2 linked regions of the Oryctolagus cuniculus genome follow. Each later gene encodes a partner of the first gene's protein in a complex. Links are inferred from orthologs where the notes say so. Each region holds a gene or a part of one and is shown on either strand. Other genes may lie near its edges. The genes, in order: ACVR2B and GDF2.

What was found.
Region 2: the proteins of ACVR2B (region 1) and GDF2 are in contact, whole or in part, in a crystal structure (PDB 4FAO), measured with the Homo sapiens proteins. The link is inferred for Oryctolagus cuniculus from reciprocal best matches to the Homo sapiens genes ACVR2B and GDF2. Residues at the interface, in NP_001097.2 of Homo sapiens: Asn35, Glu39, Cys49, Glu50, Glu52, Lys55, Leu57, Tyr60, Ser62, Arg64, Val73, Lys74, Cys77, Trp78, Leu79, Asp81, Phe82, Asn83, Glu94, Gln98, Val99, Phe101; in NP_057288.1 of Homo sapiens: Arg333, Ile346, Ala347, Pro348, Lys349, Glu350, Tyr351, Glu352, Lys397, Ser399, Pro400, Ile401, Ser402, Val403, Leu404, Lys406, Gly410, Val411, Pro412, Thr413, Leu414, Tyr416, His417.

The regions. Positions count from the first base shown.
Region 1 is NC_091435.1:174,642,299-174,646,093, forward strand, and holds part of ACVR2B (activin receptor type-2B), read left to right. Parts: intron 1-1,992; coding exon 1,993-2,200; intron 2,201-2,355; coding exon 2,356-2,465; intron 2,466-2,604; coding exon 2,605-2,756; intron 2,757-2,838; coding exon 2,839-2,982; intron 2,983-3,680; coding exon 3,681-3,795. UniProt on the Homo sapiens protein: Transmembrane serine/threonine kinase activin type-2 receptor forming an activin receptor complex with activin type-1 serine/threonine kinase receptors (ACVR1, ACVR1B or ACVR1c).
Region 2 is NC_091446.1:80,859,870-80,864,408, forward strand, and holds the start of GDF2 (growth/differentiation factor 2), read right to left. Parts: upstream 2,973-4,539; 5' UTR 2,790-2,972; coding exon 2,429-2,789; intron 1-2,428. UniProt on the Homo sapiens protein: Potent circulating inhibitor of angiogenesis. Signals through the type I activin receptor ACVRL1 but not other Alks. Signaling through SMAD1 in endothelial cells requires TGF-beta coreceptor endoglin/ENG.

The sequences.
Region 1 (3,795 bases):
TGGACTGGGTCAAAGCCGGGCGCTCCATCTGGGTCTCCTGCATGGGTGGCAGGCTCCCAGGCGTTCGGCCATCCTCTGCTGCTTTCCCAGGCACGTGAGCAGGGAACTGGATCTGAGTGGAGCAGCCAGGACTCGAACCTGTGTTCATATGTAATGCTGCCATCCGTATGTTCACATCATTTTCTCTTGGGGTTATTTTTGGTCCTGTTATTTGTACCCATTGTGGATATCTGAAATGCTCCTTTAGTCAAGCAGGGCAGTTAGTTAGCCAAAGACGATGGTAAGTCAGGTGGCAAGGGCAGCCCAAGGGCCGATGGAAGCAGAGAGGCCCTGCACCCCTGACTTTGGTGCTGCTGCTGGGGGGCGGGGCCTGTGGGCCTCCTAGGTGCTCGCCTGGGTGCTGCCCCTGGTGTTTGCCCGGCCTTTGGTCTCCCGCCCCACCTGCTCCCCTCTGGGGTCCCCCTAAACCTTAGGCTTGAGGAAGGGCCGCCCTGGGGCCTCCTGGGGGAGCCAGAGTGCTCTCCAGCGTGAGCCTCTCTGTGGACCTGAAGTCCTCCCGGGCTGAGACTGACATCCAGCTACCTGGCCGCCCAGGAGGCCCTGCGTCTGCTTCCCAGGTCGGATCTAGGCCCCAGGCGCCAAGGGCGCAGTTGTGGCTGGGAACCGCCATTCTGGCTGGGTAGCATCTTGAGCCCTGGGATCCAGCCTGGAGCCTGAGGTTTGCTGCCTGCCCCTGGCCGGTGCCCCTGGAAGGAGCTCCTGTTGTTGAACGGTCACTGTGGGGGTCAGGTCCTCCCCGGGACGAGCCCTGGGGCTCAAGCCCTCTGCTCACGGAGGCCACGTGGGCACGGAGAGGAGGTGGCGAAGGCCCTGGGTGGTGCGAGGTCAGGGTACTCGGGGACCCCGTCCTGGCTGTGCTCTGGCTCCCCCGGGGGCCTGACTGCCACCCATCCCTCCTCCTTCCTGGGGTGGGGTGGTTGCAGGGGGAGACCCGCCCAGCCGGTGCCAGGCCACTGGCCACAGCAGGCCTGAGACGTGGGGAGGTTGGCTGGGTGGCTGGTGCAGGCTTCCTCTTGGTGCCCACAGGGGTGCCAGCGTGAGGCCACACCTGCCCCTGCCTCCCAGGTCACGGGCACCCGCTGAGGGGCTGTGGCAGGCTTCTCCCACTGGCTTCTTCCCGTTGCAGGTGGTGGACCCGTTGGGGCCAAGGGCAGCTTTGGGGCTGGGGCCTGGAGTAGTTGTAGGGTGGGTCTGGTGAGTGAGGCCACGCTGGGAGGGAAGCGTCAGAAGGGGCAGATGGCGGTTTAGTGCTTGGCCACTTGGATGGACGGTGCCCAGGAGGATGACCTGTGACTGTGGCTCAGCCAGCTCCTTCCCGCCGAGTCGCACGAGGCGCATAGCCCCTGTGATCCTGGCTGCTGACTTGGCTCTGTGCGATGTTCTCTGGCCTGGGTGTGATGGCTGCACAAAGAAGGGACGGGGGGCGGGGGTAGGCTGCACGTAGAAGGGACGGGGGTGGCGGGGGGAGGCTGCACTTAGAAGGGACGGGGGGCGGGGGGGCAGTTCAGGTGTGGTCCCCAGGTGTGTTCCAGAATGACCAGAGACAGAGAGGGTGGTTACTAATGCGGATTCTGCCCCCATGCCCCTGGGACAGGGCTGGCCTGGGAATAGGCGTCTTCAATAAACACCGCTGCCTGAGCCCAGCCCACCCGCGGAGGACCAGGGCGCTTCTGTCTTGCCCTGGGGTCTCCCCATTTCTGCGGCTGCAGTGGCGTCGGTCTGGCCCGCTGCTTGGCACCCTTCTGTGGCGTCGGCTTCCTGCCTCCTCCCCCTTGCTTGGGCCTGGGGCAGCTGCAGTGGCTGGTGGGCTCTCAGGAAGCTGGGAGGTGGGGTGCGCAGGGGTCCGTGAGCCCACTCTGGCGCCTCCCTCTGGGAGCAGACGGTGGGGCCGCAGTGCTGGGTGTGCTCAGGTCTCTGCCCCCTGGGCTGCAGGCTCTGGGCACGGCGAGGCCGAGACGCGGGAGTGCATCTACTACAACGCCAACTGGGAGCTGGAGCGCACCAACCAGAGCGGCCTGGAGCGCTGCGAGGGCGAGCGGGACAAGCGGCTGCACTGCTACGCCTCCTGGCGCAACAGCTCCGGCACCATTGAGCTCGTCAAGAAGGGCTGCTGGCTGGACGACTTCAACTGCTACGACAGGTGCGCCCGCTGCCCCACGCTGCCCCACGCTGCCCGCCCCTGGCTGCCATCGTCCCCATGAGCTGCTGGGAAGGCCCTGCCTGGGGAGGGGCGTGGCCAGGCGGGCTGGGAGTCCTGCGTGCCTGGCTGAGGAGGTCTGGAAACCTCTGCCCCAGGCAGGAGTGCGTGGCCACCGAGGAGAACCCCCAGGTGTACTTCTGCTGCTGCGAAGGCAACTTCTGCAACGAGCGCTTCACCCACCTGCCAGAGGCCGGCGGCCCGGAAGGTGAGGGGCTGACCCAGCCGCGCGGGGCTGTCCTCGGCCTGGGGCGATTGGCTGCTGAGCTGGGTGGGCGTGGCAGCAGCCCCCCCCCAGGTGTCAGGGCGGGCGGGCTGTGTGACGCAGGGCTCCATGTGTCCCCCAGTCACGTACGAGCCACCCCCGACAGCCCCCACCCTGCTCACGGTGCTGGCCTACTCGCTGCTGCCCATCGGGGGCCTGTCCCTCCTTGTCCTGCTGGCCTTCTGGATATACCGGCATCGCAAGCCTCCCTACGGCCACGTGGACGTCCATGAGGTGAGACGGCGGGGCGGGGCCGGGCCGGGGCAGGGGAGAGGCGCGCAGCTGCGCAGGCCCACCAAGCTGTGCTCGTCCCCAGGACCCCGCGCCTCCCCCGCCGTCCCCTCTGGTGGGGCTGAAGCCGCTGCAGCTGCTGGAGGTCAAGGCCCGGGGGCGCTTTGGCTGTGTCTGGAAGGCCCAGCTCATGAACGACTTCGTGGCCGTCAAGATCTTCCCGCTCCAGGTGAGTGTTCCAGGGGCTCCAGGGCGTCCACGGCCACAGAGGCTTCCGCGGAGCCCCAGGCCCGGGGCCTCGCTGGGAGGCTGTGCTCAGCCCGGCCTGCAGGGACAGGCCCGGCTCTGCTTCCCAGGCTTTTCAAAAGTAGTATTTATTTATTTTTTGAAATATTTATTCACTTGAAAGGCACAGTTAGAGAAAGTTCTTGCATCTGTTGGTTCACCCCTCAAATGGCTGCAATGACCAGAGCTGGGCCAGGCTGAAGCCAGGAGCCAGGAGCTTCATCCGGGTCTCCCATGTGGGTGCAGGGGCCCAGGGACTTGGGCCACTTTCTACTGCTTTCTCAGGCCACAGCAGAGAGCTGGATCGGAAGAGGAGCAGCCGGGACTAGAACCGGCGCCCATGTGGGATGCCAGCCCTGCAGGCAGCAGCTTTACCCGTTATGGCACAGCGCTGGCCCTCGGCTTTTATTTGTGACGTCAGCATCTGTTCAGAGGCCCTGGACACCAGGCAGCCCAAGCCATTGCCCGTGAGCTTAGCAGAGCTGGGCCTAGCTCTGCCTCTCGCCTGTCAGGTCTGTCCCTGGCGTCACTGTTGGCCTGGCGCTCCAGAGCTCGGCCCAGTCCTGGGCTTCTCCGGGACGCTTAGCGGACGCTGAGGCTGGGAGGCGGGGTGGGGCGGGGCTGAGCAGCCTCTCCTCCCAGGACAAGCAGTCGTGGCAGAGTGAGCGGGAGATCTTCAGCACGCCCGGCATGAGGCACGAGAACCTGCTGCAGTTCATCGCTGCGGAGAAGCGAGGCTCCAGCCTGGAGGTGGAGC
Region 2 (4,539 bases), on another chromosome or scaffold:
GGAGCTGAGCCCGGTGCAGAACGATGCCTTTTGGCTCTATCGGCTGGTATGATTTCACCCGAGCCCTCAGGGAGGAAGCGTGTTTGGGAGAGCACGTTTAGGGTCTTGGGAAGCACCAGGCTAGCTGCTTCGGGCAGGGCTTTCCCTTTAAGCCTCACTCACACCAGGAGAACCTGATGACTGGGACTTAAGGCATCTCATTGTCAAAAGGCACTGAACTGGTGAGGACCCTCACACGGGGACAAGGACTAAAGGCATTCATTGTCAGGCTTAGGGGAAGATGCTCTGGCATGGATTTACAGCAAAGAGCCTCGGAGGGGGACGTGAAAGTCAGCGTTACAAACCTCAGCGTCTACACTGTGTATAAATCCTTTGGAGTAGTAAATCCAAAGCACAGTGAAAACAGATTTTTTTTTTCCAGTATTCGTGGGGAAAAGATCTATTAGCCTCATGGCTTTGTCACATCAGGCAAAACGGGGCCTGTTTTTTAGATAAGTAATCACTTCCATTTTCCTCTTCCTGGGACTGCTGTTGGGGCATATAGGATTAAGCCTCTGCTTGTGATGCCGGCATCCCATATGGGTGCTGGTTCAAGCTGGACTGCTCCTCGTCCAATCCAGCTCCCTGCCAATGTGCCTGGGAAAGCAGCAGAAGAGGGCCCAAGTGCTTGGGTCCCTGCACCCATGTGGAAGACCGAGATGGAGCTCCTGGCTCCTGGCTTTGGCATGGCCCAGCCCTGGCCATTGCAGCCATTTGGAGGAATGGACCAGCCGGTGGACTCTCTCTCTCTCTCTCTTTCTCTCTCTGTAGCTCTGCCTTTAAAAAACCAATCCCTGCTTCCAGGGAGCTGACCCTCAGCCATCAGCCTGTGTCTACTACAACACAGCTCACTAACAGCGAGGGGAGAGAAGTGGTGTTTCTGAGCGCCTACCACGCACCAGCAGCAGCGAAGGGAGTGCTCTCCCAGAACCCTGTGGGCAGGTGTCGGTATCCAACAGACTGGGGCTGGGAAGGGGAGTCCAAGCCCCTCTGTGCCTCAACTTTCCTCATCTGTGAAATGGGGCTCATCCTGCCTGCCTCCCAGAGCCAGGGTGAGGCTCGGATAAAGCGGTGCCTCCAACCTCCTGGACATGGTCTCTGGCTCCCAGTGGACACTTAGTCAAGACTTCTGCATCCCACATGCCCTGCTGCCTCCCATACAGGCTCCCTCCACACACCAAAGCCTGCCTCCCTGGGCCCTCCGGGATCTTGTGTGCAGGGAAGCAGAGGGGAATGCTGGGATCCCAGGAGGGCTCCAAACACGGGACCCAGGGCCTGGGGAGCTGCAGAGTCTGTCTTTCTCAAAAGGGAGGCCAGCGTGTTACAAATCAGGCTCGTTCACGTGGAATCTGGATTTTTCTCTTTCGGACAATGGGGAAATCCAGCACTTTGGGCAGGCAGCCGTGACCGCAGCGAGCGGCCCTGACTCCTGTACATGCTCTCTTCCCCAGGCAGGTCTGGTCTGGCCTGGCCTGGCCTGGGTGCTGAGCTGCGAGCCCCTTAGATGTTTGCAAGGCTGAGATCCGGAAGGGGAGAGGCCTGTGCCCCCGCAGCCCTTCAGACAGGACTGCAGCAGTAAGAAGTGTCAGTGCCTTGGGGCTGGCGCTGTGGCGCAGTGGGTTAAAGCCCTGGCCTGTAGTGCTGACATCCCATATGGGCGCCGGTTCTAGTCCTGGCTGCTCCTCTTCCCATCCAGCTCTCTGCTATGGCCTGGGAAAGCAGTGGAAGATGGTCCAAGTGCTTAGGCCCCTGCACCCACGTGGGAGACCTGGAAGAAGCTCCTGGCTCCTGGCTTCAGCCTGACACACTCCTGACCATTGCGGGGCCATTTAGTGAATGAACCAGCACATGGAAGACATCTCTCTCTCTAACTCTGCCTCTCAAGCAAGTAAGTAAGTAAATAAATAAATAAAATATTTTTTAAAAAACTGACGTCTCTTCAAAACTTTCTTAGCAAAACTCATACTATGAAAAAGCTACATGGATTTCAAAATTTTTTTTGCACCAAAATGCACTTTTAAGTCCACTTTTCACAAGGGACTTTTTGAAACTCCGTGGTATGGTAGGGAGCTGGAGACTAACAAGTGTTCTGCTTCTGAGTAGGAGGGGATACCCAGGGGCCAGAGGGAGAGCAGAGGAAGGGCGGGGGGGGGAGGAGGGAAACCTGGCACCCCTGAGCACCTACTGTGTGCCATTGGCCCAGGGGCCAGGGAAGTGGACTCTGCACAGCAAGCGGGGGCGACTGCTGAGCCCTGGAATGAGCCTGGAGAAACCAACAGGCCACTTCTTCATTTCATTTCCCGGCAGCCTGAACGATGACCACCTGAAGCGTGGACCTGCGAGCTCAGTCAGCCCTGGAGACCCCGCCCCCCCGCGAAGCCCTCCCTACCTTCCACGCTGAAGCTGCGCACGATGTTGGAGGCGGGGGTGGAGGACTTGTCCGAGGTGTACCTGTTGTACAGGTCGATCATGTACTGCGGCGGCTCCGCCCTGGTCCTGTCCTGGGAGGGCACCCCGCTCAGGTTGAGGCTGCGCAGGAAATCCATCTTCATGTTCTCCAGGAACACCTGCAGATCCAGCGCGCCCTGCGGCGGCCCCACTCGGGGCTCCCCCTGCGAGGCGCGGCTGTTCCCCGCGCCAGAGGCCCGTCCCCAGCTCTGCAGAGGCTTTCCCTGCCCGGAGCAGGACAGCAGCGACAGCACGGGCAGGGCCACCCACAGCGACCCGGGGCCCATCTTGGAGGAGACCATGGGGCTTTAGCGCGCGCAGGGAGCGGCCTGGGAGGAGCGCGCCCGCATCGTCATCCCGCTGACTCCGCTAGGAGTACTGCCGCCAGCCCCGCGGGCCCGGACTCCATCCGCTTGTTCTTATCTGGCCCCACGAAGCTGCGAGGGGAGCTGTTATCGGCAGGGACCCTCGGTTAATGAAGGTTCTGTAAACATGTGGCAAAGCGCAGGGCCTGTGGGAAGGACACGGCCTCCCGGGAAGAATCCCCTCGACCGGTCGGTCGTCGCCCCTAATTAGGGTCCTGGCTGGTTTCCCGGACAGCTCCATTCAGGGGACACTCCAGCCCCTGGGCTTCAGGAACAAAGAAGCCAGGAAATAAGGCCCAGAAGCCCTCCAAATATAGCAATGACCGCAGTGGACACCCCAAGTTCAGGGCAAATCGGTGTGCGCCTGCTCGGTTGGGAATGGGAACCTGCCACGTGGCCGCACCGCGCCCCTGTGTCTGTCCAATGAGCTGCCTGCCCAGCACTGCCATTCCCATGTCACATAATGTGGCCAGGAGGACCTCGGGGTCAGGGTGGATGGGGGTTCCAACGCCAGCCCCCACGAATGGAACCTGGAGCAGCTTTGACTTTGGTTCTCAGCGCCTCCTGCTCGGAGGGGAATTGTGATGATGGAAGATGGTCAACAGGAGCAGCCACAGGCATGGGTGTCTCTGTTCTGGGTGCCTCCTCCCCACCTCTGGGCCTCCTGAGCTGGAGCTGGGGGAAGAAGCTCCTTGTTCTCTCCCTACCCTCCAGCTCTGCAGTAGCCCTGCAAACACACTGCAGCCTGCCAGCCCCTGGGAGCTCCCAGACCAGCTCTGTCTCTGGTCTGCATGTGTGTGTGTGTGTTGGGGGGGTGGGCAGCCTGCTTCACATCCATCAGCCAGCAGAGCTATGCGGAGTCTGGGCAGGCAGAGAAGGTGGGACGCTCTGAGATGGCTCCCTGGCCAGAGGAGGCTGACAAGCTGCATCCCAGTTGATGTGGCCCGAGGGACCCCAGGGACTGTGTCATTACAGTTTCTGTCTATGTCCATCACAAGAGGCTTTGGTGCAAAGCAAAGAAAGAGCACAGTTCAAAGCACTTGGCAGGTGTGCCTGGTGGTCCACGCTGGGGAGAATTTGAAGCTGACATTGATCCAGGCTGGTGGGGCTCCTGGGGGAGGACACAGAGAGATGCAGGAGGGGCCCAGCAGGCTGTGGTCACAGATCCCAGTGGGGGGAAGGGAGAGACCAGAAACCCTGAATGGCCACACCCGGACGGAACTTGCTGTCCTCATCCAGCTGCTCGGGGGCGGGCAGGAAATGGCTCTGGGCATTGGTCCAGCCCAAGGCAAGAGGAGGGGGGAAAAAGATCCAAGTGGGTGCCAAGCTTGGGAAATGGAGCTGCCCCCTGCCGAGTGTGGCATGGTGCAGGGAGCTTCGGAGGGCAGTAAGTGGCCCCCAGCGTGCTCCAGTCCCAGAGGCCAACGGGACGTTTTCACACGGGAGTGGCTGAGCCGCGTGGTGGCAGGGAGCCCGCTGGATGTGCTCAGGGTGGTACAAGGGTCAGTTAACTGTTGATTTTTTAAAAATGTGACGGGGCAGGCATTTGGTGTTGTGTTCAGTATACTAGTTAGACCTAGTGTAGCCCATGTCATGTAGCCCATGTCAGAGATCCTGAGTTCAAGTCCCAGGTATGTTTCTGATGCCAGTTCCTGCCAACATGCACCCCGGGAGGCAGCAGATGATG